Astyanax mexicanus: one gene and its partners. The protein of the gene in region 1 purifies or fractionates together with the protein of each later gene. This does not show direct contact. Links are inferred from orthologs where the notes say so. Each region holds a gene or a part of one and is shown in the gene's direction. Other genes may lie near its edges.

Region 1 (8,521 bases):
ATCTTTGTAAAATATAATTATAAAAATGCAAAAAAAAAATAGGTATGTCTTTTAACTTTTATGTATTTCTTTAACTGTTAATCTATTTTACCAGATGCCGCTGTCAAGCAAAGTAAAAACCGCTCACCATAGGCAGCGTGTTTATTCTAATCCTGCAGCAATTAGACTTGAGGTGAGATGCTGGCCAAAATATTCAGAAATATGATGTAATGATTCCAGGCAAATTAACAACTGTTAGAGGCACCTTAAAATTTAAAAACCAGGTTTTGTCTTCAGATGCTGCACAAATAAGTTATAGGGAGGTATATAGCTGGGCAATATGGCCCCAAAAATGTTTTATTAAACTACAGATGATAAAGAAATGGTTAAAAACAAGTTTTTATTTATTTTGTTTTTACTTAAATTGTCCCTTAATGGTTATAGTGCAACCAGAAACAAGCAAAAAACAATTGTAACAATTGAGAACATCTAGTAATTTTTAGAAAGCTTTCTCCAACATAGTTTAGGTACTGACACAATGCACCCTCAAACCTGTTTTTTTTTTGGTTTGCCATAATGTTTGCTGCACTTACAACACATCATAACACTTTTGTTTTACATATATTACATTGTGATGAGATTTTTGTTAATCAAAAACAAAAAAAAACTTTATGAAACATTGGTGTTCATGACAAATCTTTGATACTTTAATTGAATCTGGTTTAAATCATGCTGCATCAGCAGCAGCTCAAAAAGAGGCGGAGTCTGACTTCACATGTATCGGAGGAGGCGTGTGCTAGTCTTCATCCTCCTGGTGTTGGGGCACCACTAGTAATAGGGGAAGTCTGAATAAGTGAGTTGGGTAATTGGTCATATAAATTAGGGAAAAATTGGGGAAAAAAATAGAAAACAATTCTGGTTTTGTTTGGAATTCTATTTTTGTATTTATTTATTTTGTTAAATGTATTGTTATTTGGAGCAACCACTCATCGTGTGGTGAAACCTATAATAACAGTACTGTATTAAATTTAATATAAAGTATAATTTTTCTGTTGCTGAAATATTGTATGGCAGTATGCTGAAGTTAATGGTGTTTTAGAACACATTTTAACAGTTTTATAGGATTTACTGGAAAAATTACCCTATTAACTACATTAAAGCCAATAATTGTGATAATAATGCAAATACTTTATTTATAGACACTTTATATTAGTGGGAATTTGTAAAATAAAAATAAAGTATATTAAGGAAATGTATTAATTTTAACATAAATCACAGTCGCACCACATGACATTTTGTAAGGCCAAGGCCAATTCTAAATGAAAATACACTAAAATCACTCAATCTAAAATTTTAATATGAGTTGGTGTTCACAACATTTAAAATTTTGGAACAATTGCAACAGATATTACAGATATACTTATTGTTAGAATTTTAAAATTGGCATGTTGAAAATCCTTATACATCATTGACCCATATATAAATTTTTACAGACATTTTAATCTCATTTGAACCATAGTGCTAAGGCCTCACTTATAAAACTCTGTGTAAATTTTGAAGAGAATGTGTGCGCATGCACAAAAAACAGGAAATGGCATGTGTATGTATACCTGAGCGCTGTTTCCTCTTTGTAAATTATAAATGTGCGCAGGTGACCCAGTCTCATGTTCTGCCTCTATACCGCCCACATTTACCAATAAAAGGTCCATGCAAATCCTTCAATGAATATTTAAAGTGGGATTTCCCATTCATACTGAGTGGGACAATAGCAAGATTTTGGAGACTGTAAAGTAGAAGTCCTTGTGTCGGAGGTCGAGGTGGGGAAGAATGTGTTAATTGATGCTTTTAGCCAACATGTAGCTGCAGCAGTTAATAATGTAGCTCAACAAGCCAAACTATTAGAGAGGTTAGAAGAAAGTGTTCAGATACAAAAATGCTGCTTCACCTGCACATATTTTCCAATAGTTGTAAAAAAAACCTGTAAATGTACATTTATTCCATGATCCATTGGTCTCTATAAATCTGTGCCCAACTTAGCACACAGTTCCTCGAGAATGGCTCCTTGAAACCTAAATCGGCTCTTTAATCAGCAATCATCATTCACAAAAAAATCTATTTGTAGAGCTGTTATTTTTTTTGCAATTAGGTACAGCTGTTTATGCTCGTAATTATCTGCAACTGCAACCCAAAACATTTTTCTCTTTCTTTATTATGGATTATAATTTGTTATAATAATAATAAAATTGTGATAATAATAATTATAATAGTAATAATACATTTGAATACTGATACTTTAGATACATCTCCTTTGAATTTTAAAATTGTGAGATAAAACAAAACAGATAATACAAATAAAATTGAAATACATTACAGCGTGAAATACACAAGTTAGTGCAAAAAATAATACTTCATATAAAGCAGAATAAGATACAGCAAACATTGAAACATTATACATGCAGACAAAAATATATTTAAACAAATATGGGTTAATCCTGCTTAATCTTTCGTTCTTAGTCTTGATTTATGCGGTATGAACTTAGTATGCATGAGGGTAGTTTGCGCATTTACTTGCTATTTACTTACCACATGATGTCACTAATTCCCGCTCTCTTTGCAATCTTCTAAAGGAATACGGACGCCTTAAACCTTGCTGAAATGTACGCTCGTTTTCACGGCAAGTATTTCTTTATAAATCACAGCAAGCGTGAGATGTTGTGCACGCACATTTAATATCACGTGATGTATTATAAATGTATTAGAGATCAGGGGCCTCATGTACTAAAGGTGCGTACGCACAAAAACATTGCGTACGCCATATTTCACGCTCACGGTCTGATGTACTAAATTTGACTTGAACGTGTGAAAGTGCGTTCCCCCACGGAAGTTTTGTTTTGGGCGTACGCCTTTTTTTTGTGCGTATGTATTGTGTTTTTGTCATTTGGCGACACTTAGAGGCGATGCATTGAAATTACAACTATTAAGATATCCTTTATGCACACATTGAAGTAAGCATTATTGGGTAAAATAAAGTAAATTAATCAGACAGTTTCATTGTCTTACAGAAATAATCGTTTAACGTGTTTCCACTTAGCCTAGATCAGGTTTGCGCTGGAGTTGTTGGAGATGCAGCGTTGGCATTACTGGAAAATACTGCTAATGGCCGAATTCATTGAGCGCGCATTTTCCGTGATCATTATGTTTTTTTGGCCCATGATGATGACTGGCTTATAAGCAGTTTTAGATTTCCAAGAGCATAAGAAAACAAGCTGAGTACGTGACGTGTGTCTTTTTGGTAGGCAACTCATTTAAAGCATTTAAATGAAAGCATTTATCTTAGAATAATAAAACTTAAAACATGGGTAATTATACGCTATGCGTATATAATATTATTATTATTATTATTATTATTAATAATAATATTATTATTAATAATAATAATAATAATAATAATAATAATAATAATAATAATAATAATATAACATTATACTCTGCGTAATTGAGGGAGGAGTCGTGGCAAGTGTGCTGCTTTCGTGCATTTGCGCTTGATTTCAAGTTGATTGTGATGTACTAAGAGAAAGTACGTGGAATTCTGCCTACGCACGGTTTGATAAATCATTTATCAAACCGTGCGTAGGCAGAATCCCACGTACGCAAGTGTCGCAAGACGCGTAGCGTAATAACTAATAATTACCCATGTTTTAAATGTATCATTCTAGGATGGATAATAAATGCTTTCATTTAAATGAGTTGCTCACCAAGAAGCCACCCATCACGCACTCAGCTTGTTTTCTTATCCTCTTATGCTCTTGGAAATCTGAAACGGTTTATAAGTCAGAAATGGTCACGAAAAATGCGCTCTCAATGAATTCGGCCATTAGCAATATTTTCCAATAATGCCAACGCTGCCATCTCCAACAACTCCAGCGCAACATTTTATGCATGTTTATATAATCTAGGCTAAGTGGAAACACGTTAAACGATTATTTCAGTAAGTGAATGAAATTGTCTGATTTAATTTATTTTATTTTACCCAAATAATGCTTAATACAATGTGTGCATAAAGGATGTCTTAATAGTTGTAATTTCAGTGCATCGCCTCTAAGTGTCGCCAAATGACAAAAACACAATACATACGCACAAAAAAATATTATTTATTATTATTTAATTTATTTTGTCTATTATTTTTTTTAACCTTTAATTAATAATAATTGTGGTGTTCGTTTAGTCCTCTATTTCTTTAATTGTGTTTATATTATTTTATTATATTTTTTATGTATCTCTTTAGCCTCTCTGCATATCCTTTATTCTGAGTTTATTTTATTTCTTCTTAATTGAAACTTACATTGTTTTCTTGTTTTATAATTTAAACTTATTTTTCAGTCCCTTTAAATTTGTAAATGCTTGGCTGCATTAAAAATGAGGGTTAGCCTTAATGTATGACAGAGTGGAAAAAAATGTTGATTGATTGATTGATAGATGGAATACATGCCAGTGTGCAGTATGATATTAGAAATTCAATGGGCTGCCATCGGCTTTCACACGCTGTGTAAATATATAGTACAGAGCTATTTACTTTTTTGTTTTCTTAATGTTTACCCCCTCCGATTGTTCCCTACTTACAAAACTTGTCAACATTGTGTTTGTTTTATATTTTCTAGCACAAGTGTCACAAATGTGTGAATCAAACCCAACTATTTGTACATGATTCTGGATGATTTTCCATGATATTTAAAATAAAGGCAAATTATTATTTTGACAGCCACATCCGATTTCTGCACTAATTTATACATTATATGGTTAATAAAATACATGAAACAATATACAGAATATAAGACAAAAGAAAAAATATATATTGACATTATTTTCACTTAATTAATATGTTTAGTGTTTGGGCACATGACTAATTGGCAATTAAGGAATTAAAACATTAACGTTACTTTTACTTCTAATATACTTCTAAAAAGATTATTAACCATTTAACTCAAAACATTTGATTTAAGTATTAAGACTATTTTGTTACTTATTTATTTTATTTTAATTGCATAAGTGCAACTTATCCGGGCTTTACAATACTGGAAGGCACTCATTAGAAGGTGTGTCCACAAACATTTGGACATGTGTATTAATGGCATGCATAGGAGCTCGTTGTTTTCCGGCAGTTCTCGGCTCTTTCCGTGGCAGGCGAGTTTGAATCGGCGGTGTTCGGTGGCCGATAACGGTCAGTGCTGTTCAAATCTGACGCTGTTAGCATTTAGCTTCTCCCCGGCTAACATACAGAGACCGGAGCGGAGAGGGAGCGCGGAGGGGCAGTCCAGGAGGCCGGCCAAAGCGACGGAATGACGGTGTTGCAGGAACCTGTACAGGTATTCAGCCACAGATTTAGGCCGCTGTGTGTAACCCGGAGCGGCGGGGAGAGTTTCACCCATAAGCCAAACTCACAACTTTACTCGGGGTGATTTTGAGCTCCTGGCTTCGGCCTGTTCGGCGCTCTGCTCCTCAAACCGCAGGGCTGTTCTCTGTCTGACAGGATTCTAAACAAACGCACCCCTGAATCCTACAGGGTGGAACAGACGGGATATTACCGTGATTTAAACACCTGAAATGCAGAGTATTTTAACGCTAAACCTGCTGTTTTCGGTCTCTCTGGTGCTGGAAAGCGGGGCTAAAGTTAGCCTGTATGCTAGCGGGTTCGTTCTTTCCTCTTGGTTAGCTAACGTTAGCTTAGGTTAGCTGGCTAGTTACCCCTCAGAGCTCTCGGGTCTGCTGTCTGTATAATTATTGCTAAAGATTGTGTTTAAGTTATGAAGTTTACTGACGAGCGTCTGGCCGTTTACAAGTTGTCAGGATCGGCCGCTGCGTGCAGTGTTAGTAGCTAGGAGTATCCCATGTTAGCAAGGCGAGCTAGCCTGTTATTTAGCTAGCTAGTAATGTTACTGTGTTTAATCACCTAGCTCACAAATTACTCTTTACTGCTGGGATTTGTCATGCTCCTTTCTCGTATAGCTGTCATGTCACCTAAATAAACAAGAGCCACTGTATAGTTAATAATGCCGGGCTATCCGCAGAGCTGCTTACCTACTATAACAGTTCATATTGTCTTCATGTCTGTTACCTACCCAGTTAGTCCTCCAGCTGCTCAGTTTATTAGCTCAGCTTGCGTATGTGTCTTAACGTTTATTTTAAATGTTAGGTGAATGGTTTAAAACCAGCTACACCATATTAGATGAGCACATGCATTTAACATAACCTGGAGATACTTATTAGTCCGTTGCTATTTTTTTACGTGTTTCTAGTTAGCTAGTTGCACATCAGCTGAGACGTTGCGCTTCACTATCTCTGGCAGCCCCTTATTTGATTTTCTTTTCAGGGTATATGTAATTAAACTCTTTAATACCTCGGTCCCAGCTGCCACTTAGCAACTGGCACTACTTCATCTTACTGATATTGTGCCATTTTAGCTTGTTTTTTTACCACTGTCAAATAAATAAACATAATAAATAATTGTGGGCTGCATTTTAATATAAAATCCTGACACCTTTTTATCGACAAATTTCTTTGTTTAAAAAAAAAAAAATCAGTCTGTGTTGCTGCCAAGTCACAGTCTTGTTTATTTTGTTTATGCCTGTTAATCAATACCCCCAGCTGCCAGTTTGGCTTTTATGTGCACCTTAAAACAGAGCAAATATTACGTAAATATTTTAACCATACTTGTGCATCTAAAAAATAGACTATTATTGAAAAGTTACTTTATTCCAGTAATTTAGCTCACAATGTGAAACTCATATTACACAGATGCATTACTCAAAGTGCTCTATTTTAAGCGTTTATTTATTTTATTGTTGATGATTATGGCTTGCAGCCAAAATAAAATTTTAATGATAAGTCCTATTGGAAAATAAAATCCTCATATCCATAAAAGTTGTCAGCAGAGGGAAGCGAGCTGTAAGATTTTCTGGAAAAACACTGCACTGACTTTGGAATTGATATAACCTAATGGATCAACACCAGTAGATGACGTGACTCTCCAAACCATCACTGACTGTGAAAACTTTACACGAGACCTCAAGCAGCTTGCACTGTGTGCTCCTCCACTCTTCCTCCAGACTCTTGTCCATTGATTTCAAAATGAAATGCAAAATTTACGGATGGTCAGTGATGGTTTGGAGTGACTCTCTGGTCCAAATGTTTGTGTAAAAAGGTTAGTCTGGACCAACAAGGTGGATGTCAAAGCACTGATAGTCTCTGACCCTATTAGACCCTATCTCTAAACCTATAGTTTACTAGGTTAGATGTTCGCAAATGCTTGCTAGGTTGATGTTCTAGTCCACTGTCTTTGTAAATGTTATCTCTAATTTAAGAGACCTAGGTCTAGTAGATCTGGGACACTTAGAAACTAACGTTTGCCATGTCTTAAGCTGACACTATGCCATTCCGTCACCACTGGGATTTCAGTAAAACTAACATTGATTTGGCGTGCAGTTTGGTTTCATATAATCCACAACCTCTTGCTTTGACCTTTTGTAATATATTTATGTCTGCTGTGTTGTTTGTCTATAGGCTGCTGTCTGGCACGCTTTAAACCACTATGCCTACAGAGATGCTGTATTTCTGGCAGAGAGGCTCTATGCTGAAGGTAGGGTTCAAAATCTTTTCAATGATGACACATAATCAGTAGTACTAAACATTAATTTCCATTATGTCCTGTAGATCATACACCAGTGTTACTGTCTTGTTAATCTTTTGCTTAAAAAAAGAAAAAAAAATAACATGGAAATATATAATATAATCTGTATAGCCAAGATTGGAGTAGTTTTGTTTGTATCAAGCATCTCCTAGAGCGTGACTCAATTGCGATAACATTGTTGAAATTAGCTATAACGTACATTCTCCTGTTTTTCTCCTAATTTAGCTTGGCCAATTGTTCCACTACTCAGCTATATATCCCACATCACAAGTGATTCCAAAACACAAATAGGGTGAAGACTAGCAGACATCTCCAACACGTGAAGTCATCCATCGCCTCTTTTCTAACTGCTGCTAATGTAGCATTGCCGGTGGTCGACTACACATGTGTTTGAGGAGGCGTGTGCTAGCTACATGACCGGGATTCAAACCAGCAATCTCCCAATCATAGTGGCAGCGCTTTAGACCGCTGGAACACTTGGCGACCCTAAAGGGAATATAATCTAAAATTAAATTCATAATTTACTCTAGATTACAAGCTCCATGTTTAGGCAAATTAGCTACTTTTCAAAATTAGCTTTCTTTGTTGATCAATTCAGTGTTTCTCAGAAGCCTGAGCAAACCTGGGAGTAGCCTGGTGGCTTTGGTGGTGAATGGGAGACTTTCGAATTGATGTTTTATTTAATAATATCTCTTAATATTATACTCCATCATTACGGCAACTGATTCCTGACAAATTAATCATACACACTTTTCTTGAACTGAATTGTCCCATCGTGCCTGAAATCTGCTGCATTCACAGACTATTTTTCAGTTTCTTTGTAGTGTACATGTTCTCCCAAAAGGTACATTAATGTAT
Region 2 (7,924 bases), on another chromosome or scaffold:
ACTTCTACCCCTTACATTTTCACACAATTATTTGAACTTTCTACTCCTTTAAAACTCCATTTTAAAAACAGCCTTGTTACTCCTGCCATTTCAGCTTGTTTTGGTTCCGGCTTTTCATCGCTCAAAAAAAAAAAAACTCTCAGATGAATCTCTCCATTCAGATAAAGCAAATCTGATTGTGGTTGGATGAGAAGAATAAACATATACCATTCTGACACCCTATTGGTTCATGCAAAATTCATCCATATGCACGTCATGTCACTCCAGCAAGTTTATAGATTTTTTTGGTTTCTACTGCATGTTTGTATCAATTTTCAAACAATATTTTACAGTGACATAGTCTTAAAATGAAAAAAAAAAAACAGTTTAAAAGAATATCATTATCAGAAAAATACCATTAAATATTGTGACATTATTTTAGGTCAATATCGTCCACCACTATCTCAGCTTCTTTTGTATTTTAATTTGTATATTATTTTAATCTTATGCAGTTTATATGCATGCACTACACATATTGCTTTTTGAGTTAAGTTTGTTCTTTATGTTTTAATTTTAGTTAATGCCGTTTATTTGCAAGCACTACATTTATTGTTTTTTAGTTTAGTTTTCTTTTTGTCTTTTATTTGAATATTATTTTAATTTTTGCAGTTTATGTACATGCACTGCAGTTAGTTTGCATTTTATATTTTATTTGCATTTATTTTATTTTTATGCACTGCATATTTTGCTCTTTAGTTTTGTGGTCGATTTTTTTTGTTTCACAATAAACATTTAAAAAATATTTTGCTGTAGAATATAATTGAAATATTTGAAAAGTAATATACTTGTAAGTATTAAAGCATTTTTCAATAATATTTTTATTAGAAAAATAAAAAATATAATATTGTGATATTATTTAAGGGCAATGTCTTCCACTACTAATTTATCTCCTTTACTATTTGTAGTAGGCCTAACTTTTTTATTAGAGCAGAATGAATATTATGTACTGCATGGCCATAATCATATCAAAACTTCAAGACAGAGAGACAGACAGACAGCACGCCAGACAGACAGACAGACAGACAGACAGATAGCCAGACAGATGCTGCTGACTTACAGTAGGCCAGCAGAGCGCTGGAGAAATCCCCCTGAATTTCTTTCCTCAGTGATTCCCTCCTGCTGCTGCTGCTGGATCTCACATACTTTCTCTATGCAGTAATTGCACTCTTGGCTACTTATAGGCCAAAAACTCACTCTTTTCAGATCCCCACACTGAAAGACTTCTCCACTTGCATTTTGTGGCAACTTCACAGGTTTGCATGACAAACACGACATAATTAAATAAATCATGGAAAAATGTACCAGGGAAACTTTATGCCTGACATCAACCTTGGCAGGTGAGCCTTCATTGCATGGTGATGATGCACACTTTATGGAATTCTGTATGGAAAGGGGAAATCTGAATAATTCCATGCAGACTGTACAAAGTCTGTCGTATGGGAACAGACCTGCATAAGAAATTGTACAGTGATTGGAATCAGAAAAAAAAACATTTGTGATTTAGTGCATAATTAGTTTTAATCTCACTCATCTGCATCAGTTTACATTTCCTCCAAAATGAGTTCATGCTGACAGCTTGATTAAAATGTGTTCTTGATGAGACATGGATAGCAAAATTCAGGATTCAGTAACAATAAAATGAGTGATGAGTGAGTGACTGCTGCTGTGGAAGCACAGTCCCTGCCTACTATCAGCTTGTCGGCCTAAACTTCCACTCGCAAGCATTGTGAAAGCCAACTCCAACCCCAGTCATTACACTAATCTTTTCTTCTGTTTTGTCAAGTTATTTTGAATTTATTTTGTCCCTGTTGTAACTCTGTCTGCACTTAAGTCCTCCCTGGTGGAGGTTTCCATTAGGGAGTTAAGAATAAATGTAGCAGCAATCCCGAGATAAGTACCATCCTTTATTTTGCTTGCTGCTCTGTTACATAATATGTTTGTAAATAAAATATAGACATCAGAATTAATATGAAAAATAAAATAATACATGAAGTAGAGCAGGAAAGATCAACACAAAGGGCCCTTTTTCAGTGCAGATTGATTTAGGGAGTGTGAGTATGTTTTCACTATTATAACGATGGCAAAAGGCTTATATTAACTCCCTTAATCATAGGTATGTTTGGGCATAAAGTGCAATGAACAAATCTGTCTGCCTGCCACGGACTGTACTGCTCTCACAAAAAAACTCCATTTCCCAGGATACACCTGCCTCTAACCTCCCGGATGTTCCTGACCACGTGACGCCTCATGTGATTTCCCCTGTATATATAGCCCCTGTACTTTTGACCACTGTTTCCTATCCCTTTGTTTTGTTAGTCTTCTCATTGCAGACCTATTTTTGTATTATGACTACCCTTTTGCCCTTCTACTCATTATTGAATATACTGTGTATGACCTCCTTGCATACATACTCTGGTATGTTGCTTGTCTCTGCTGCCCTTTTGTTATTGACCTTGCCTGTCCCTGTCCATTCCCGTAAGCTTAGCACTTTTTAAATAAACTGTGCTTTTGGTATCTGCGTGTGTCTGTCGTGTGTTGCCCTCAAAGAGCCAGGTGTGATATAATCGTAACCTACATCTCTATTTAAATGACGCAGATGGAAGGTGTGAAAATAGACCCCTTAATGGGGTGCAAGATAACAATGAGCATTATATGACAAGGCTTGTGCACAGTGTATACATTTTAGTCAAAAAAACTAAGACTAAATCCAAATCACCTGTCAAAATTACCACTGCTAGACTACCAGCACAGGGTATTTTTTTTTCTGGATAACTATCTACAATGTAGAAAATAAATTAAATAAAGAAATAGAGAAAAACAGTAAAGAAAAATAAAGAAAAACATGAACTAAATTAAACTTTTGATTGGTACTATACATGTTTATTTAAATAGGATATTTGTTACAATAATAACAATACATTATTAAATTATTACTGTATTATTGTAATGTTATTGGTTATGACACTCAATTAAAATCAAATAGTTACAAATAAAAATGTATGTACTACATAGTATATAATTACAATGTAGAAATATATGAAACAATTTTATTTAACACTAAATACAAAATTACTACAAAAAACTCTCCTAGAAACGAAAAAGTTTAACTAAAAAATGCCATCAATTAACCCTTTCAGACCCTGCATCTATTTACAATGGAGCTGTTGTTCATTAGAATAGACCATGAATGAACCAGCCAATTAACAAGTTTATAAACCAATGAAACAGTAGCTTAGCCCCGCCCACTGAACTGGAAAAACAGTAGTACTAGTAGTAGCCATTGATTAGTAACAGTTTACTAATTTAATGTGATTTAGAACATTTAAATTTTTATTTTGCTGTTTGAGTAAGGTTTATGAAATAAAAAGGTAAATAAAAAATATATCTAAAACATTACACACAGACTTCCAATGCAATGGAAAAAAAAATAGTTAATAGGATTTATTTGCTATATAACTACATTTTATAGTAGAATATTATAGTCTTTTTTCTGTGCATTACAGATAGAAAACCGCATTCTTAAATATCTTTTCTTCACTGGAGATAATTTAGGTCTGAAATGGTCAGTGTAACGTTTATTAGTTTAATTGTCTGACAATTTAATGCTAAATTCGAAAATAGACAATTGAGGGTAAAACTCATTTTTTTTATTCTTACAATTTGGTGTAGTACAGAAGAATTGGGTTTAAATCAATTTTTCCAATTTTCTATTTTTTAATTTCTGCACCTACCAATTAAAATTTCAGGGAAAATGAAAAAAATGTATATATTTCTCTTTTTTTTTTCCCTTTTGTAACAGAGTTGCATTATAAACCATCAGATTTCAAGATACAAAAATGGAAAAATCTAAAAAAGAAAAAGAATCTAGAATCTAAAAAAGGCAGACATGATTGGAAAAGATTGGAAAAAAAAAACAACAAAAAATTCTTCTTCACCAAAGTAAATACAATAAATAAATAAATAAATAAATAAATAATTAATTAAGTTTTATACTTAATTTTCTATGTTTCTATGCTCTATTTTCTATGAAACAGTCAGAAAATTGAAGTGATAAGACGTTATGGATCAACAGAGCGGCTCTTCAGCGCTGACGCTGTGCGTAATGGCGTCATCAGCGTTGCGCTGTGTGTTTTGATGGTGCGCATGCGCGCCAGTTCAAACGCGCTCTGAATTCAAACTGAGCGGCGGGTGAAACACAGAGAGCAGCGCTGCTGAGAGAAACAATCGCGGCAGAGCCATGTCCAAAACACTGCAGGGAATCACGCTGAAAGGCAGCGCCGAGCTCGTGGCGGAGTTTTTCTGTAAGTCGAGCCGTTATTGTGTCCGTTTGTTTGAGAGAACCGGGGATGAACCGTCTTTAAACTGTAAACTGGCTGCGTGTGTAACGTTAGATAGACAAGGTTAGCTAACAGTTAGCTTAGCTTAGTTTAGCTAACATTAACTAGCGTTAAAATAGCTCCACCACGACTCCGTTTAATTTATATACAGTAATTCCGCTGGACACTAGTTAACCTACATTTAGTTGGTCGGTAAAACACTGAGAAGCCTCTTTTTTGTCGTGGTGAAACGTGTTTTTAACGGAGTCTAAACTGGCGGAGGGCGTGTTTAATTGTGCAAACCTTTTAACGTTAACGTGGGTTCGGTTGTCAGTGTTTTAGCACGACAGCAGTCGCGAGTTAACATAGCTAGTTAGTTGTATAGTTTTATGACAAGGTTCCCCGTACAGTTGTCTGTTAGCTAACTAGCTAACTAGATTACATTACACTTGTGGTCATGTGTCGAAAAGCCCCAGTTTCGTCATTATTTATAAATAAATGGCTGATCCTCCTCTGCATGGCCTGCTGTACAACCACAGCTAACACCACATACTGCTTTAGACAAAGTAATGATCATTTAAAAAGTTACTAAATTACTTAAGTCTGACTGATTTAAAGTATATATTTGTTCACTGTGTGTTTTTTTATACAGCGTTTGGGATCAACAGTATCCTGTACCAGAGAGGAATTTATCCTGCAGAGACTTTCTCCAGAGTCACACAGTATGATATGAGTCTTCAGCTCACTACAGACCCCAAGCTAAAGACCTACCTTACCAACGTTGTGACACAGCTCAAAGGTAGACTCACTGTTCACACTACTACTACTGCATTAAAAAATAGAACATTATTGAAATGTTACTTTATTTGAGTAATTCAGTTCAAAATGTAATACTCATAATAATAAAGGTGGAAAATAAAAATCTACATCTCCATAAAAGTTGTTAGCATTGGAAAGCATGTAGTGCTGTACGATTTTCCTGAAAAAACACCTGAACCTGATTTATCACAGTGGACCAACACCAGCAAATGACATGTCTCTCCAAACCATCCCTGATTGTGAAAACTTCACACTAGACCTCAAGCAGCTTGGACTGTGTGCCTCTTCACTGGTTTGGGTGGTTTGGAGAGTCTGCTGGTGTTGCTCCACTGTTTTATCAAGTCCGAAATCATTTCAGTGTTTTCCCGAAAACCATACAGCACTCCAGCTGGACTTGGCACACTTCTTACACTGCCAAAAGCATCAATTGGTCTTTATTTAATATTCTAAGTTTCTGGGATACTGATTTTTAATTTTTTAATTATTAACACTAAGAATAAACTCTTAAAAAATATCACTCTGTGTGTAATACATGTATATAATGAGTTTCACATTTTTAGCTAAAATACTGAAATGAAGTAACTTTTTAATTATATGCACTTTAAAATGCAACCACATAATATAGTAAATCCATAATATCTGTATCACCGTGCCACATGGAATGTCTTCCATATAACCCTAGATACAAGTAATAATCTTTGTATCTATCTATCTCTATCTATCTCTCTATCTATCTATCTAATAAAAATCTGAATTTTTCAAAGGTATGTGATTCTCAATAACAATTTCACAATAACTTCAGTTTATAAACAAACAGCACTATTTAAAGTGCACAATGAATTATTGCTTTCACATTTACTTTCAACAATTAAATACCTATCCCATTTTGAAAATTGCATTAGAACAGTAATTTCATTAATCAAATTAATTTGATTAAACTCCCAGCCCAGATATCTTTTTCTTTTTTTCTTTTCTTCTTTGTATAGATACATTGTAGTTTTTAGTCCATTATCATCTTTTTATGTGGCATGACAACTGTTTCACTGCTAATTGTACTGTGTGTGTGTGTGTGTATATATATATATATATATATATATATATATATATATATATATATATATATATATATATATATATATATATATATATATATATATATATAATTGTAAATAAAATACACTCATATTATAATATTGTTTGATCTTTGCTTTTTATCAATAAACGACTGACCTGTTTTCCACAGAGTGGCTGTTTGATTGCACAGTTCAGAAGCTGGTGGTGGTGATCACATGCCTTGAGACAAATGAAGTCCTGGAGAGATGGCAGTTTGACATTGAATGCGACAAGACTGCAAAGGATAGCAGGTATTATTATATTTGAGGAAATGTCAGTAGATTTGTCCTTATATTATTTGAAGTATCTGCAGGTGAAAGTTTGTGCAGTTGTTAATCTGATCTGTGGTGTGTTGCGTATTTTAGTGCTCCCAGAGAAAAGTCTATAAAAGCCATCCAGGAAGAAATCCGTTCTGTCATCAGACAAATCACAGCCACTGTCACCTTCTTGCCTTTACTGGAAACTGCATGTAAGTATTCTACCTTCTCATTAACTATGTGTCATGAATTACGTTCTTTGTTTCTATTATATTTAACTTGTACTATGAAACATGGTGGTTGAAAGTATGCAAATGTTCCATGTTACATAGGATGGCAAATGTGTGTATGTATATGTATATATGTATGTATGTATGTATGTGTATATATATATATATATATATATATATATATATATATATATATATATATATATATATATATATATATATATATATATATATATATATATATTTTTTTTTTTTTTTTTTAGTTTTGGTAAAGTGTAGTGACAACTAGCTCTCAAACCAAAATTTAAACATAAATACAGGTTTGTGAGAGAGATCTGTATTACTACTACATGGGTTTATAGATATAGATTATTGGGTTTATAGATAGGTATTAGAGTAAAGTCAGTAACTTTACTGTAATACTAAGTAAGGATAATATGTAAGTGCATGTTAATATGAAAATAGTGCTATAGAAAGACTCTTTGTTTGATGCTAAATATTGTCCAAATATGATTTTTGTGAATCGTTGCATTCCTTCTGGGTTATTTTTAGTATGAGATTTTGATTGGGGTAAAAAATGTGGGGTAATTAATTTTGCAGTTCTAGTAATTTATTAAAATAACCGTTTTTTTCTTCATTATATTTTTAAAAATTAGCTCTGCTTTAATTGTCAAGCTTTATATTATCATGGCAGCTTACTGCATCCATGTAGTATAGTTTTATTTTTAGCAAGGTAGTTTAGTGTGCTATTAGTGTTGCACAGATACCTTTTTGAGCTCCCCTCTGTGAACACTAGCACAGAAGTTTTTTGTGTCATCATCTAGCAGAGGCTGGTGGTTTTGTGAATGCTCTTCATTGTTACAACAGTGATCAACACCATGTTGTTTATGTACTGTATAAGTAGGTGTAGAAGTATTCCTAATAAAGTGTATAGCGAGCATCACTAAACATTCTATTTTGAACTGATACAGGTGCCTTTGACCTCCTGATCTACACAGACAAAGATCTGGAGGTTCCAGAGCAATGGGAGGAATCTGGGCCTCAACTTATCGACCAATCTGAGGAAGTGCGGCTCCGGTCTTTCACTACATCGATCCACAAAGTCAACAGTATGGTGGCCTACAAAAGAACAAACTCTATGTAACCATAT
Region 3 (8,687 bases), on another chromosome or scaffold:
ACCAAAGTAGGTTTAAAAAATAGGCCAAAACAAGAAAACCCTAGGATACAACCCCTGAATTGTACATAGAATTTTCTGATTATTACAGTAAAATTATTCAAAACTATTTAGCAATAAGTTTTGACGAGTTCAGAAATCAATATTTGGTGGAATAATCACAGTTTTCATGCATCTTGGCATGTTCTCTTCCACCAGTCTTACACACTGCTTTTGGATAAATATGCCACTCCTGGTGCACTGCAGGTCCAAATGTCTAATAATTGCATTCAGCCACTTTATGTTGCACCCATTGCTGACACAAATGTGAAAATGCACATGCAGTTTCTCCAGTCCCTGTATTTGAGAATATATGCCAATAGAATAGGACTCTCTGGAGCAGAAGAACATGAACCCTTTGACACTATGCCTAGTGCCAGGCATAAGCTATAAGGGTATTATCTGCCCTGCTTTTGTTGGAGTAACTGTCCCTACTGTACAGGGAAGGTGCTTTTCTATGGTTTTAAGCATTGCTTTAAGGATTTAATTGCATTTAGCAACAAAAGTGTTAATGTGTCAGGGTGGATAACCACAACTCAATGCTGGTGGGCTTTATACCCCTTTATCCCGCACCTGGCATTAGGGCACGGTGCCAATAGGTTCATGTTTATCTGCAGCAGACAGACCTATTCTATTGGCAATACCTCTTCAAAACTGACTAGATAATCTGTGTGTGTGTTTTAGAATAGTGTAAACGTGGCAGGTACCTTGTAGATGAGTTTGTGATGAAGGAACCTGTGAATCCAGTAGATGCACATATCAGTAAAAAAGAGAAATGAGAACATGCTGAAAATCAGCCCTGGCCAACCTGAAAACGATAAAAAAGAGAAAGAAGAAAAGCTCAGAATTAGATTAACTAAACTGAAAAAGAGTAAATAAACAGAGAAAACACATAAAAATACTAATCTTTTTTATGTGGCAATAAATGTGAAAGCTAAAGCAAGTATGACAGACTAAAGTACATAAGTAAAAAAAAAAAATATTGCTTAAATATTTATTATTATAATATAGACATACAGCTCTGGACAAAAAAAAGAGACCATTTAAAAACAATACATTTTTTTGATTTTACCAAAGTGTTGAACTTGTTTTCTTTTTGGCATTATTTGAGGTCTGAAAACTCTGCATCTTACATATTTTTTGTTATTTCAGCCATTTCTCATTTTCTGCAAATAAATGCTCTAAAGGACTATATTTTGATTTGAAATTTGGGAGAAATGTTGTCCATAGTTTATAGAATAAAAGAATAATGTTCATTTTATTCAAACATATATCTATAAATAGCAAAATCAGAGAAACTGATTCAGAAACTGAAGTGTTCTCTTATTTTTTTCCAAAACTGTAACTGTGGAACAGAACTATATGAATAATACCTCATACTGTATGCTGAGTCACTTACCTAATGGAGAGTCACTGACGTTGTCGTAGAGCTTGCTGTAGCCTCGAACTTCAGCGAAGAACAGTGCGACGGTGGGAATGCTGATCACCGGCAAAGAAGTCATAGCGTATTTTATTTCACGCCTCACCTGGTTCTGTGGAGTAAGAAGCAAATGATGACATTCTAACCTGGGTGTGGAAATGTGTGCAGATATTGAGCCTCGACTGAACAGAAATGGGAATGTAAAATCAAAAGTGCAACTTGGGAAATTTGCTCTGTCTATGTTTTGTTCTATGTTAAGATATTGAGGAAGTACTAAATATTTGAAAAACAAGATTATTCAGCTGAAAAAAAGCCTATAAATATAATTTGTACATGAAAAATATATATATATATATATATTTTTTATCAAGTCAAAATGCATTAAGCTATTTAATTTAGGAAATATGTGGGTGAAAATGTGATTTAATCAATGAAAACATGCAATAGAGCATGTTAAAAATTCAGTATTTGGCCTCCAGACAAATAGGGCTGCCAGTATTAATGAACATAATCAACTATTGAAATTTAATTATCAACTAATTGTTAATTTGTTTTGAAGAAAGCCATAGCCAGTAGAGTAAAATTAACATTGTTGTTTTATTCTATAAAGTACAAACAACATTTCTCCCAAATTTCAAAAAAATATAGTCATTAAGAGCATTTATTTGCTGAAAATGAGAAATGATTGAAATAACAAAAAGATACAGAGCTTTCAGACCTCAAATAATGCAAAAAAGGGTTCATATTCATAATAAAGTTTTAAGAGTTCAGAAATCAATATTTGGTGGAATATCCCTGTTTTTAAATCACAGTTTTCATGCATCTTGGCATCATGTTCTCCTCCACCAGTCTTACACACTGCTTTTGGATAACTTTATGCCTTTACTCCTGGTGCAAAAATTCAAGCAGTTCAGCTTGTTTGGTCATCCATCTTCCTCCTCGATTATATTCCAAAGGTTTTTCAATTTGGTCAAATCAAAGAAAGCTGTATATATATATATATAATTAAATACTATAATTTAAGTATTAGGTAAGTCAGGTAGGTTTGTAAAAAGAGTATTGAATCATATATTCCTCTCATATTAATAATACACAGTCCATATTTATTTGAAAGCTATTTTCATATGTAAAGGGAAGGAGTTACAGTACTGACCTCCAGAAACTGAGGGTGCTTCATTAAACTGTGGTCAAATATGAAAAAGTAGCTTAAAGCTCCCAGGCCGAGGTATAAAATCGCAGCACCCAGGTTGGTGACCACCAGCAGTCCAATGATCTGCCGCAGAGCCTCATCTTCAGGCCAGGAGGAGGGATAGACATAGGGAGTAAAGAAGTAATAGTCTGCAAAGTTCAGTACAAGGTCCATGGTTGGCACTGTGGGGTGAGAAAGAGGTTTATTTAAACAAAAAGCATCACAATTCAGTGATATTGACCTATAAATACATAAATATCTGTGGATTCAATCTTAAAATGTTATTAATATATAACTATTCGAATTTAATTTAGAAGTTTGTATATCCTCTTATCTCTGTATAGACAAAACAAAGGTTATAAACAGCTGAGAAACACATTATAAACACAGTTTATAAGCACAGTAAGAAACACAGTATATATAATAATGTCCATAATGCACCGTGTGTTTGTAAAAGCTGTAAACACGCTGTTTTTAACTGTACAGAAGAGACTTTACCTCCGTGTCTTACCTGGGGAGGTGCTGCAGTACTCCAGCTCCTGCACGCCCGCTTCTGCTTCCAGCACACAAACCAGCACAACACCCCCCACCTGACGCACTCACACAACCCTGCTGCGACCAATAGGAGGCCGTTTCGTCATCACGCAAGCAGGAATCCTCGAATTTGATTGGCCAAAAGCGCGATCTGCTCATGGGGTTATAGATTCAGGAGCAATGTTTAAAGGAGCAGAGTTTGCGTAGGTGCTACCTGCTTAAAGCTATTTTAATATATTTTTTTATATAATTGATGCTTAAAGAGACTTAAAGAGAAGGTTAGGAAAGGAAATTCCAATATACAGCTCTGGAAAATATTAATAGAGCACTTCAGTTTCTGAAACAGTTTCTCTGATTTTGTTATTTATGGGTTTATGTTTGAGTAAAATGAACATTGTTGTTTTATTCTATAAACTACAGACAATATTTGTCCTAAATTCCAAATATTGTTATATAGAGCATTTATTTGCAGAAAATGAGAAATGGCTGAAATAACAAAAAAGATGCAGAGCTTTCAGACCTCAAATAATGCAAAGAAAACAAGTTCATATTCATAAAGTTTTAAGAGTTCAGAAATCAATATTTCGTGGAATAACCCTGGTTTTTAATCACAGTTTTCATGCAGCGTGGCATGTTCTCCTCCACCAGTCTTACACACTGCTTTTGGATAACTTTATGCCTTTACTCCTGGTGCAAAAATCCAAGCAGTTCAGCTTGGTTTGATGGCCATCCATCTTTCAGAGAGATAAACCAACAAACTGACCTGCAATTATTTTGACTATTTTCACCACTTCTGTGCATTTTACATTGTGTGACTTTTATAGTTTAGTTTTTTAGTTTTCAGTTTATTTATCTATATGTTGTAATATGGTCATTTTTTTTAATCTGCTTATATTCTTGTTTTTTATACATTTTGCATTTAAAAATGTGTGTTTTTATTTTTTAATATATACGCTACTTTTGTTTTATAAGCAACCAGCTATTTAGACAAATAGAAATATTTATATTTACCAATTGTAATCAGTGAATGTGAGTATAATAGGCAGAAAGGGAGACAGATCGCCCTCTGCTGTTTGCATTACACTGGTACGATTCACGTGTAGTTTAATAGTTGAGAGTGTATTTATTAGTCATAATTACATTTACAATATATAAACACTTAATTTAATGTTTAATATCTTGCCCATATTTCAGATTATTTTCTAACTGCCTGTAAGAAGCAGAAATACCTTTTTTAAGGAGCGTTCCTCTAAAAGGACTACAGAATCTGTCGCTCTGAAGACGTCACCACCGCACAACTGCATTAGTGGCGCCAGCAGGTGGTCATGGGAATTGTAGTTTATTTTCATTTGAATATATATATTATACGCTTATAGTGCTTATGCTATAATTCTATGAAATCTATGAGGACACTGAGATTAAAATACCAAGAGTGTGCAGATCTGTCCTCAAAGCAAAATGTACTGCTTGGAAGAATCTAAGATATAAAACATATTCTAGATTGTTTAACATTTTATGTTTACAGAATAATTATGCATGTGGTCCTGTACAGTTTAAATATATTCTTTAATATTAAATTTACAATATAAAAATCATAAAAAGAAACAAATTATCTTCATCTGCTGGTGTTGATCCACTGTGTTGTATCAAGTTCAAAGTCAGTGCAGTGTTTTCCCGAAAAATCTTACAGCACGGATTTCATTTTCCAGCAGGACTTGGCACACTGCCCACACTGCAGCCAAAAATACCAGTTGCAGTTCTTTGGCTGTAAGTCATAATCATCAACAATAAAATAAATAAATGCCTCAAATAGATCACTCTGTGTGTAATACATCTATATAATATATGAGTTTCACATTTGGAACTGAATTACTGAAATAAGGTAACTTTTCAATGATATTCTATTTTATTTTTTGAGATGCAATAGACACTAGTATATATAATGGAAGTGATGTAAGAGTAGAGCCAGCAGGTGGAGCAGGTCTGCACTTTTTTCGCATATGTTTTTTCGCTCTCTGTCGTCATCAGTAAGGGACAGTAGAGGGACTGAGCGCAGTGGTGAGTAAAGCTGGTGTGTATCAGTTATTATTGATATGTATTTAGTATCTATAGATCAGGGCTGTGTGTGCGCAGGGTCTGGAGATGGACAGTGAGGTACAGAGGGACGGCAGGGTGCTGGATCTGACCGATGATGCCTGGAGAGAAGACCGGCTGCCCTACGAGGACGTGACCATCCCTCTGGTACCCCTATATAATAATCCATAATAAACACACACACGAGGCTGCTGTACTGAGTGCAGAACTGATTAGAGGACTTAAGTGTTGTATTTTACTGTAATATTAGCTTAGTTACCCCCCCTGATAGCAGAGAACATTACATACATGTATTTTTTGGTTCTTTTACATTTTTTATGCTCATGATGGGAAAACAAGCTTTAAATTATCTTTAAAAAAATAAAATTGTGCACAAAATATCTATTATAATTAGTGCTGCGCACTATGACCAAAAATGTATATCACAGTAATTTTATTTTATAATTTTTAATAACACCATTGCTGTTCCTGACAAATAAACATAACAGTTAATATAAGTTTGGATTGTACTGTTAGGAGTATAGCAATAAAATACAAAACATTAAGGCTTTGATTACTATTGAGTTTACTCTGTACCAAAACATTACACAATATATAAAAAATTCAGACTTCATTAGCAAAAAAACAGCTGAAGAAAGTAAACAATAGACCATAAAAATATATATGCCAACAACTTTAACCCTGCTCCCATTAAAAAACTAAATATTTTAAATAGTTCCATAGACACTATAAATAGACCTAAAATACTCAAAATGTAAGTATTCGTAGAGATATTTCTCAAATGTTCTTGTGCACAAGTTAGACACAAGTTTAATATATTTAAAAGGTCTATAGTTACTGATCTTTAAGAGTTTTGCACCAGTATTTAAGGAAGTTATCACTTGTGCTGAATGAATGATTGATTCTTTACCCCAGGACTGATTCTAGGCTCGTCTGAGCTGGGAATCGATTGCAAAATTAAATTCCTCTATTTTTCTGAGTAAATAATTGCTAACCGTTTTTCTATATTACTTGGATAAAAACACTCATACAGTGAGGAACAGCAGCAGGAGCTCCTTAGATAAAGTGCTGTTCCTATTTCTCTCCAGACAGGACAGAGCGAGACGAGCATTTGACTCCCCTCACTCCTGTGTTTTAGTTTGTTATGCTAACTGGCTTGCAGTATTTAGCGAGCTGTACCAGTATACTTTTTTCGGTTGTGCTGTTTTACGCAGCGCTCCGTTGAACCTCTAGCGACATACCAGAAGAGGAATTAAAACGAATCCGCTAATCCGGATGAACCATTATACAGTCCAGCACAATTTCAGATGGCAGTATATCCTTTTTTTTTGTTTAAATATATTAAGATCATGAGTGTACATGTCTCTGTACATTTCATTACAGAATGTCACAAATCCTGTTAAATTGAATAATATGCAGTAAAATTTACATAAGAAAGAGCATTTGAATAGCAGATTCATTAATGCTAATGAATTATCTCTGCTTGTCAAAATATGGTAAATACTGTGTTGTAAAAAATTCTTTAAATATTGTAATATAACATTTAACATATTACCCAGCTCTATCAGCACATGATTATGTACAGCAAGGGTGCTGGCTATACTGTGTGTATGTGTATGTGTATGTGTATATATATATATATAAACCAGCCATAGTTGGAAGTATTTTCTGACTAGATTGTACAAATTACAGAATATTTTCAAAGAAAACAACAAAGCACTTTTGTAAGTCACTCTGGATAAGGGTGTCTGCTAAATGCCTGAAATGTAAATGTAATCTCTGTGTGTGAAACTGACCTAAAAAGGCTCATAGGCTGTGATATTAATGTTTTGTTTTCTTTCTCTTTTAGAGTGAACTTCCAGAAGCAGAGCAGGATAACGGTGGATCAACAGAGTCAGTTAAAGAGCAAGAAATGAAGTGGTCTGATCTGGCTCTTCAAAGTTTACATGAAAATACTCCAAATACAGGAACATAGCGTAATCGTAATGATGATGATGATGATGATGATGGTGGTGGTGAAAAATATGCATGCAAGTTATTGTGTGTATGGTCACTGCCTCTATGTTAGGTCTTTGGAGTAAATGACCTGTTTCACTCATGGGTGAAGGACTTTACTCACAGATCTGGAGACTACACTTGTTAAATAATGCCTGGTGGCTTAAATAGCCCAGAATCAAAGAAGTGCTTTAACGTTCAATTATATTTTGTGATATGTGAATGAAGAGTAAATGTTTTGTATCTAAAAACCATGTAAAGCTTCTTTCTGGAGCCTCTTCATTGTGTTTCTGTCGGACACACCTGTGGAGATGTGAGAAATTGTTAGAAGAAAATAAACTTAAATAAAATTATGAAATAAGTGTGAAGTTGATGCAATTAGAAATAAAAAAAAATCTAAAAATGGGTGTACATCTCTTTAGAACAAGTTATGAAGAAGATATACTGTACTTCTGTAGTTGATTTTATCAGAACAAAATAATTTACACAAAAACTGCTAAAAAACCTCTAGCTGCTTCCTCTAGAATTTAGTTTATCATTGTCAATATAATTGGTATTTTTGAATTTACAAATGTTAATGTAATGTAAAATTGATTAAAAGTGATTCCATAAATATGTACCTACTTTATGGTGCTGCATATGTAAGCAGTCACTTATTCAACATTATGTTTTATTTAATTGACATTGCCTTGTAAAACTTTTTTACAGACTTTCTAAAATAGCCTAATTATATTGACCCAAAAATTCAATTTATAAATAACAATAAATCTGGAGATTAATATATTTTTTTAAGGTATCGTACACTCCGTAAGCCTGTGCAAAGTTTTCTGCAAAAAACAGTCCTTGGCCTGTATACAAACTACAAGTGTAGATGATAAAAACTCTTTCTCTGCAGTAAAATACGTTATTTGCATTCTGAAAATTTTGAGGGCCCTGGAGGTTCCAACAGGATACTATGTGAAACTGCCGTTTCTCTACTGCACTTAATATTTCTTAATAATTATTAAAAACTAGACAATTATAAAAAAATAAAGGTTTGGAGGACATTAACTGTTTAATTTGTTTTCAGGAATTTTAATTTTATTAATTTTATAGTGTTAAGGAAAGCACTAATTTTATGATTTTTGTTAATTATACCATAGTTATTTCTGACCCTGCAATGTGATTGGCTGAGAGGTGCTCTATGAGTGCCATTATCAGCCGGTAATGCACTGTAAACGTAACTCTCAATGTATTACTCCGCCACGTGCAGGTAACCTAGCAACGATGCAGTGCTTACAAGCCAAACAGCGCAGCTACAAACAGAGCAGCAATGAAACTATTTTAATTTGCGGAGTGTTTATAACCAAACAGATCGTATTTTCTCATCCTCTTTAACTCAAAATCTTTTAGTAAACAGCGATAATTTAACTGGTATAA
Region 4 (8,063 bases), on another chromosome or scaffold:
CAAGTAGTGCATAATATAATTTTATGTGAAATTCTCAAGTAACTAGACTGCACTAAATTATTTGTGTAGATACAGGGGTTGGACAATGAAACTGAAACACCTTTCATTTTAGTGTGGGAGGTTTCATGGCTAAATTGGAGCAGCCTGGTGGCCGATCTTCATTAATTACACATTGCACCAGTAAGAGCAGAGTGTGAAGGTTCAATTAGCAGGGTAAGAGCACAGTTCTGCTCAAAATATTGCAATGCACACAACATTATGGGTGACATACCAGAGTTGTTGGTGCACGTCATGCTGGAGCATCTGTGACCAAGACAGCAAGTCTTTGTGATGTATCAAGAGCCACTGTATCCAGGGTAATGTCAGCATACCACCAAGAAGGACCAACCACATCCAACAGGATTAACTGTGGACGCTGTAAGAGGAAGCTGTCTGAAAGGGATGTTGTATCCAAAAAAACATAAAACCATGGCTGCCCAAATCACGGCAGAATTCAATGTGCACCTCAACTCTCCTGTTTCCACCAGAACTGTCCGTCGGGACAATAAATGATTGTGGTCTAAAACCAGGTGTTTCAGTTTCATTGTCCAACCCTTGTTGTACTTAAATAGACTTATTTATATTTACAAAGTCAAAAAAGCTTAAAATCAATTGTTAGTAACACATGCAAAGGTCAAAGCAATGGCTTTAAACATCCCTGTTTCTGATTTACAGACAAGATAATAGACATTCACTAAATAACAAATACAGAATAAGTTACATTTGTTATGCAATAAACAGGATTAACACACAGCCGGATTGCTGAGTGGCAGCACAAAAATCAATCGCTGGAATCTGGGAAAGGATAAAGCCTCTCACAGCTCCACTCTCCGGCCGTCCCACGGGAACAGACTGTGGGTTCTCTCGCTGAGGGAGGAGAGCACAGGCATGAATAGTGTCTTTCAGTTATAGCAAATATCAACCAACTGCTGAGATCCTGTGAGCAGCCTTGTGTACAGCAGCCTGTAACACGTTCAGTTATCAGCAAAGATAGAGTAGACCAGCGATTCTCAACTGAACTGGTGGGTCGGGAGCCAAAAGTGGGTCGCGGACTTGTTCTGAGTAGGTCGCAGACAGCTTGAAAAAAAAAAAAAACATAAAAAATATATAATAATTATTATAATGATAATGCTTTTTTGTACTTGTCTTTTATATTGGGGGAAAAAGAGAGGCAGGGAGTTACTAATGAAATATCTTATTGTGTATCCTCTTTTATTTTGCACAGTTTTGATTTTTAATTTTATTATTGTAACTTTTATACATTTATACATATTATACTGTTCTCATACAGAGTTCCCCAACGATGGAACAAACTACCTTCCACTACCAGATCAGGAGAATCTCTCGCTATCTTTAATAAACTCCTGAAGACAGAGCTCTTCAAAGAGCACTTACTCTCCTAACACCTCTAACACACTAACTACTTCTAACCTCATTTCCTTTTTCCCCTCCTTCACTTCTCTATCCCTTTATTTCCCTTCGACCTCCTTTAAGCCCTGTCTAAAAAATGTTTTACCTTTAACTTCTATTTTGTTCTTGACTATTGTAAGTCGCTTTGGACAAAAGCGTCTGCCAAATGTAATGTAATGTAATGCAAACATTTAGTTGTCATGTTCCTCCTCAGTTTCTTAAAGAAATACTAGTAAATTCACTTTGCATATGTATGTTAAAATGGATTTTTAAGGCCATTTTTAAAAAATAAGTTTGCTTGCGTTCTATTCCATAAAAGTGGGCCGCGACTGGTCCTGGGCTAAGACCAGTTGAGAACCCCTGGACTAGACTATTTCAGCTTCCTCCAGTCAGCTTCATCCCATGTGGAGGCCTACACATCTTTAAATTCTCCTTTTTAAATACTGTAAATGATGCACCTGGTTCTGCAATTTAAAAAAAAATGTCTAGTGGAAGTGATGCAGGGAGACAGACACCGATTCTCCTTATGAACATTTTCATCAGCTGGTAAGAAACCCACAATCGCAGTGTCATGATCAAATGTCTACAATGAGCCGTTTCAAAGAACGTATAGTGATTTCTAGCTTGTAGTGTGAAAAAAAGTATCTATTTGAATATCTCACAAAAAAAGTAAAATGAACTGAACTTTGAACTAGTTCAGAATTAAAATTGTGAACTTTCAACGTGAACTGTTCACTTTGAGCATGCATGAAGTGAACTTGAACTAGTTTAGAAAAGCTGTGAACTGGCACAACACTGTCCCTCCTGACAAAATGTAAAGTTTTGAAGCTGATAAAATGTAGTTAAAATGATATAAGAGAAATGTAATCCCCAATCACATCTATCTTCTGTCTCTAGACTGACTGCTCCTCACACAGTTACTGCTTTAAAGTACCAGAGTTTCATTTCATGCTGGAGATTCATGTGAATATGATTGTGTTTAAGCAGGTAGATGTAGAATTTAAGGTGGAATAACTATAACAAACGTCATAGTTATTCCAGCGGAACTAAGTTATAGTTCCTCTGACAAACACTAATTATGTAACAGCTGCAGTTCTTAAACTGGCATAGAAGGAAAATAAGAAAATGCAGTTCTTTATTCTGCCACCTTAAAGAGTGCAGCAGTTTAGCCCAAGCACCTGTAACTGCTTCACTGTTTAAGGTGGAATGAAAACATTAAATAAGGCAGTGTTAATGTGATGTGGAAGTATTTAACTTATTATTTAAAATGAACTGCTTCACTTTTTAAGGTGGAATTGAGTAATAAGCATCAGATGTCAGATTGTATTGGTGTATCTCGGCGAGTTTAAGCGAATACTAGACAAAATAAACGCAACCAAATCACAAGAATGATGTTAAATCAGTCTGTCAGAGATTTTCCTGGAGGAGCTGTGATCATTGAGGGCTTCACCTGAGACTGGAGGAGCCCTGAGAGCAAAGTTAGGCTAGACAGGACTTGAATTTCACCTGACACTGAGCAGACTGATCACTCCTTGACTTGGTACAATGAGCACTAGATACTATGTGGTGAGCAGCAGATACTATGTGGTGAGCACCAGATACTATGTGAGGGGCACCAGATACTATGTAAGGGGCACCAGATGTTACTGTATGTGGCAGTAAACAGTTGTTTTTACATGTTAGTCTCTGGGGCTTACCTCATTTTATGTGGGGCTCACCACATAGTACATGGTACATATCTGAGAGCTTCTGGTGTCCAACATTTAGTATCTAGTGCTTACCATAGTATCTGGTGCTCACCCACCACATAGTATCTTGTCCTCACTACATAGCATCTGGTGTTTACCACATAGTATCTGGTGCTCACTACAAAGTAACTGGTGGTTACCTGGTGCTTACTACACTGGTGGTTATCTGGTGCTTACTACATAGTATCTCGTCCTTACTATAAAGCATCTGGTGTTTACCACATAGTATCAGGTGCTCACCCACCACTTAGTATATTGTCCTGACTATATAGCTGGTGTTTACCACATAGTATCAGGTGTTTACAATATAGTATCAGGTGCTCACCGTGCAGTATCTTGTCTTCATCATATAGCATTTGGTGTGTACCACATAATATTTGGTGCTCACCACATCGTATCTGGTACTCACCACTTAGTGTAGTATCTTGTCCTCATATCGCAACTGGTGTATACCACATAGCATCTAGTGCTCACCACTTAGTATCTCATCTTCACTATACCGCATCTGGTGTTTACCACATAGTATCTTGTGCTCACTACTTAGTATCTTGTCTTCACTATGTAGCCTCTGGTGTTTTCCGCAAAGTATCTAGTGCTCACCACTGACTATCTTGTCCTCACTATACCGCATATGGTGATTTCCACATAGTATCTTGTGCTCACCACTTAGTATCTTGTCCTCTTTACATAGTATCTGGTGTTATTTGCTTGCATTTAAACAGCAGGTAGGCCATATTAGTTTAAAAAGTAATATAATATAATTTAATATAATAATTATTTCTACATTAATTTCCTCTCATATGAACAGTACGTTAAGTAAGCAGTGCTCAGGGCTTTAGCTGCTCTTTTTATTTAAGAGAAACCCTGCTGTTCATTATATTCATGCAATATCAGAGGGATTTGTGCTGCATCCACTGCTAAGAACACAAACAGTCAGTGGTGGTTCTGGACGCTTGGCCTGGGAATGGAGGAGGAGCCTGAGGAGCAAAGTCAGAATAGACAGAGTGTTTCAGTTCAGTTCTTCATTCAGTCTGATCCTCTGATTGAGACAAACTTTCTGCTGCTGGATTTTGTAGCTCATCTATAGATCGACTCATGAGGATGAGGATGGTATTCTCAAGGAGAAGATAGGATGATCCAGCACAGACAAAACTGAACTGAGGTGGGCATTTTGAGATATATTCTGTTAGTGGGATACAGAATATACTTTTTTTGAGTATATTGTGGATATCTTCAGTGTAAATTAACAAATTAATTAGCTTTCAATCACAGAGAGAGTAATTAGTAATGTTTAGGATAAGTTATAGAACATTTTGATTATATTTTTTGAGTATCATTTTAAATATAAAAAAAAAAATATTGTAAATATTGTGATTCATCTCATGATACAGGTATTTTTACCATATCGCCCAGCTCTTGTCTGGACCTCCACTAGGACTAAACTAAAGATAAACAAACAAACTTGCCATCATTCTGCTGTGTGTCAAATTATTATGATTATTTTTTTTAATGCATGTGAGATGTCTTATTTGAACACTCAAATAAGCTCTAATAAAACTGATAAAAAGTGAGGGAAAAAATAGAACTTTTTGTAACGTTGTAAACTACAGCTTGATTTGGATCTGCTGCTGGAGCTGCCATATTTAAAGTGGAAGGGAAAATGCTAATGCTTGCAACTTACTGTAGAATTAACTAATCAATTATTAAATTAGTTTCCAACTGATTTAATTGATTAGTTGTTGCAGTAGAGTAGTTGTAGCTCTACTCTAGTGTGTTTGCCAGGTCTAAATCCTACTCCATTATTATGTTTGTCCCACTACAAAACTGCAGAGAAATAAATACATAAAAAATGTATTGTGATTTTATTTATGATTAAATAACAGAATAATGTTCTAATGTTCTAATTTTATTTAAATATGCACTATTAAAAGCTTAATCTTTAAAAGATAAACCTTGTGATTAATTACAAAATGCTGGGATTAATCTGATTTTTGTTTTATTAATTGACCACTAATAAATAGGTAAACTTCACTTACCTCACTTCCAGACATGTATTTCAGACTTAAGTAAAAGTACAAGTGCTCAATCAAGAAGTTGAAGGGTTTTTTAAGCTCCAACCTTAAGCATAAAAGTAATAAAGTATTTTACATTTTTGTACTTAAGTATCAAGTAAGTAAATGTAGTACTGAAGTACTAAAAAAGTACAATATTTTGTTATGTAGTTGTTACAGAAGCAGTGAAAAGAAAGATTATGTGGGCTCAGAATGATTTCTAACATTTTTATAATTGTAACAAATAACAATTCAGCACATAAAAAAATATCAGAGTAAAAGTATTAAACTCATCCAAAATATGTAGTAAAGTAAAAAGAAACACTCCAGTAGATACATATACAGTAGTTTAGTACTTAAGTACAGTAGTGTAGTAAACATAATACTCCAATATGAGTACATATACAGTATTTTAGTACTTAGTAGTTAAGTAAAAACAATACTCTAGTAGATACAGATACAACATTTTAGTACTTATGTACAGTAGTGATGTCAAAATAATACTCTAGTAGATACAGATACAGCATGTTAGTACTTAAGTACAGTAGTAAAGTAAAAATAATACTCCAGTAGATACAGATACAGTATTTTAGTACTTTAGTACAGTAGTGAAATACAAATAATACTCAAGTAGATACTGATACAGCATTTTAGTACTTAAGTACAGTAGTGAAGTAAAAATAATACTCCAGTAGATACAGATACAGTATTTTAGTACTTTAGTACAGTAGTGAAATACAAATAATACTCAAGTAGATACAGATACAGCATTTTAGTACTTAAGTACAGTAGTGAAGTAAAAATAATACTCCAGTAGATACAGATACAGTATTTTAGTACTTTAGTACAGTAGTGAAATACAAATAATACTCAAGTAGATACTGATACAGCATTTTAGTACTTAAGTACAGTAGTGAAGTAAAAACAATACTCCAGTAGATACTACGTTTTAGTACTAAAGTACAGTAGTAAAGCAAAAAGTAATACTCTAGTAGAAACAGATATAGCATTTAAGTACTTAAGTACAGTAGTTAAGTAAAAAACAATAGAAAAAGTAAAAGTAACACTCCATGAGATACAGATGCAGTATTTTAATACTTAAGTACAGTAGTGAAGTAAAAATAATCCTCCAATAGATACAGATACTATATTTTAGTACTTAAGTACATTACTTAAGTAAAAACAATACTCCAGTAGATAGCAAAAGTAGGAGTAGAAGTAAAAGTAACACTCCATGAGATACAAATGCAGTATTTTAATACTTAAGTACAGTCCTTAAGTAAAAACAATACTCCAGTAGATAGCAAAAGTAGGAGTAGAAGTAAAAGTAATACTTCATGAGATAAAGATGCAGTATTTTAATAATTAAGTACAGTACTGAAGTAAAAGTAATACTCCAGTAGATACAGATACAGTATTTTAGTACTTAAGTACAGTCCTTAAGTAAAAACAATACTCCATTAGATAGTAAAAGTAGGAGTAGAAGTAAAAGTAACATTCTATGAGATACAGATGCAGTATTTTAATACTTAAGTACAGTAGTGAAGTAAAACTTATACTCCTGTAGACACAAATACAGTATTTTAGTACTTAAGAACAGTAGTAAAGTATTTATATACAGTAGTAATATACATTTCGTCTCGTTTCTGCAGGTTAGATCAGTCTTCAGCAGGTGGTGGAGCAGAAGGAGCTGGGAGATACTCGGAGAAGGTCTTACCTGGAGTTTTGGGGGAGGAGCCTAGAGAACCTGTGCCCATACTTGGTCAGCGCGAGGCGGATGGGCGAGGTCACCTGGTTGCGTCACGTGCAGAAACTGTGCTAGTTACCTGCTGCCTCGCAGTTCCTCCATTTAGCCTGGGGAAGAGTTCCAGCTCTGAGGAGAGCAGAGAGAGGGGATTTCCGAGGATTATTCGGTTTATTTTCTGTTACATGGAGACTTTAAGGAGTGTACGGCTGGGGGTTCTTCTCGTTCTACTGCAGGTAAGTTCTGCTTTAATTGGGGAAGATTTTAAACAGCTGTTTTTCTTACAAATATGGTCAAACATGTAGCTTAGCTAACTAAGAGTTAGTAGTTTGGCTTTAAATGAATTTAAACCAAGTAAAACATCAGCTACACACGGTTTTATTGCTATTTCTTTGGGTTTATTGGACTAAAATCCGTTTATTTCAGTAAATAAAACAGTTAAAAGAAGCTGAATGTGTTTTTTCTCGTCCTTTTTATTACAGGTGCTCTCCACCAGCTTTGCTGATCAGACGCCATGTTCAAACGGATTTGATTCAGCGGTGTTCATTTTCAAAGTGCACAGACCTCACCTTCACAGAGGCAGGAGGCTGGGCAGAGGTAAGACACTGGTTTTATAACCTTACTTTTTAAGAAATGTGATGTTAAAAATTGGAAAATGACTCTTGCGATGAGTATTTATACTTGTTAATGTGAATTTTTGTCTGTAAACTGGTTTAAACTTTGGTAAAGACCACTAACATGAATACTTTTGCACTTTAAAGTTTAGTCTTCTGACTATATGGAAAATATGCTGGTAAAATTAAGACTGCGTTATATGGCCCTAAAATAGTATCACGATATTTCAGGGTACTTTTGCGATATTAACGAGGTTCTGACAAACGTTTTTTAATGATTGTTAAGAGAATACTACTGCAACACAACAAACTAAAATCTATAAATGTTTATCTGTTTTGTAAAATAACTAAGACCATGATATTATAAAATAATGTTTATAAATAAAAATGTTTATAATATAACAAAAATAAAGTAATGTAACATCAATAATCTAGAACAGAACTGAATAAAGTGTAG

What was found.
Region 2: the proteins of cdc27 (region 1) and mad2l1 purify together in Homo sapiens (affinity purification with western blotting; 29 studies listed by BioGRID and IntAct, with this or other methods). This does not show direct contact. The link is inferred for Astyanax mexicanus from reciprocal best matches to the Homo sapiens genes CDC27 and MAD2L1.
Region 3: the proteins of cdc27 (region 1) and anapc13 purify together in Homo sapiens (affinity purification with mass spectrometry; 5 studies listed by BioGRID and IntAct, counting the BioPlex papers as one, with this or other methods). This does not show direct contact. The link is inferred for Astyanax mexicanus from reciprocal best matches to the Homo sapiens genes CDC27 and ANAPC13.
Region 4: the proteins of cdc27 (region 1) and B-cadherin purify together in Homo sapiens (affinity purification with western blotting; 4 studies listed by BioGRID and IntAct, with this or other methods). This does not show direct contact. The link is inferred for Astyanax mexicanus from reciprocal best matches to the Homo sapiens genes CDC27 and CDH1.

The regions. Positions count from the first base shown.
Region 1 is NC_064410.1:15,204,975-15,213,495, reverse strand, and holds the start of cdc27 (cell division cycle protein 27 homolog), read left to right. Parts: upstream 1-5,159; 5' UTR 5,160-5,315; coding exon 5,316-5,342; intron 5,343-7,536; coding exon 7,537-7,612; intron 7,613-8,521. UniProt on the Homo sapiens protein: Component of the anaphase promoting complex/cyclosome (APC/C), a cell cycle-regulated E3 ubiquitin ligase that controls progression through mitosis and the G1 phase of the cell cycle.
Region 2 is NC_064415.1:32,657,719-32,665,642, reverse strand, and holds the start of mad2l1 (mitotic spindle assembly checkpoint protein MAD2A), read left to right. Parts: upstream 1-4,181; 5' UTR 4,182-4,276; coding exon 4,277-4,340; intron 4,341-5,007; coding exon 5,008-5,154; intron 5,155-6,417; coding exon 6,418-6,538; intron 6,539-6,652; coding exon 6,653-6,756; intron 6,757-7,745; coding exon 7,746-7,918; 3' UTR 7,919-7,924. UniProt on the Homo sapiens protein: Component of the spindle-assembly checkpoint that prevents the onset of anaphase until all chromosomes are properly aligned at the metaphase plate.
Region 3 is NC_064424.1:8,786,901-8,795,587, forward strand, and holds anapc13 (anaphase-promoting complex subunit 13), read left to right. Parts: upstream 1-5,138; 5' UTR 5,139-5,237; intron 5,238-5,312; 5' UTR 5,313-5,321; coding exon 5,322-5,420; intron 5,421-7,122; coding exon 7,123-7,248; 3' UTR 7,249-7,630; downstream 7,631-8,687. Other genes in the region: sc5d (lathosterol oxidase), read right to left, coding at 744-844, 1,436-1,568, 2,610-2,819. UniProt on the Homo sapiens protein: Component of the anaphase promoting complex/cyclosome (APC/C), a cell cycle-regulated E3 ubiquitin ligase that controls progression through mitosis and the G1 phase of the cell cycle.
Region 4 is NC_064430.1:28,569,023-28,577,085, forward strand, and holds the start of B-cadherin, read left to right. Parts: upstream 1-4,240; 5' UTR 4,241-4,359; intron 4,360-6,900; 5' UTR 6,901-7,177; coding exon 7,178-7,228; intron 7,229-7,474; coding exon 7,475-7,589; intron 7,590-8,063.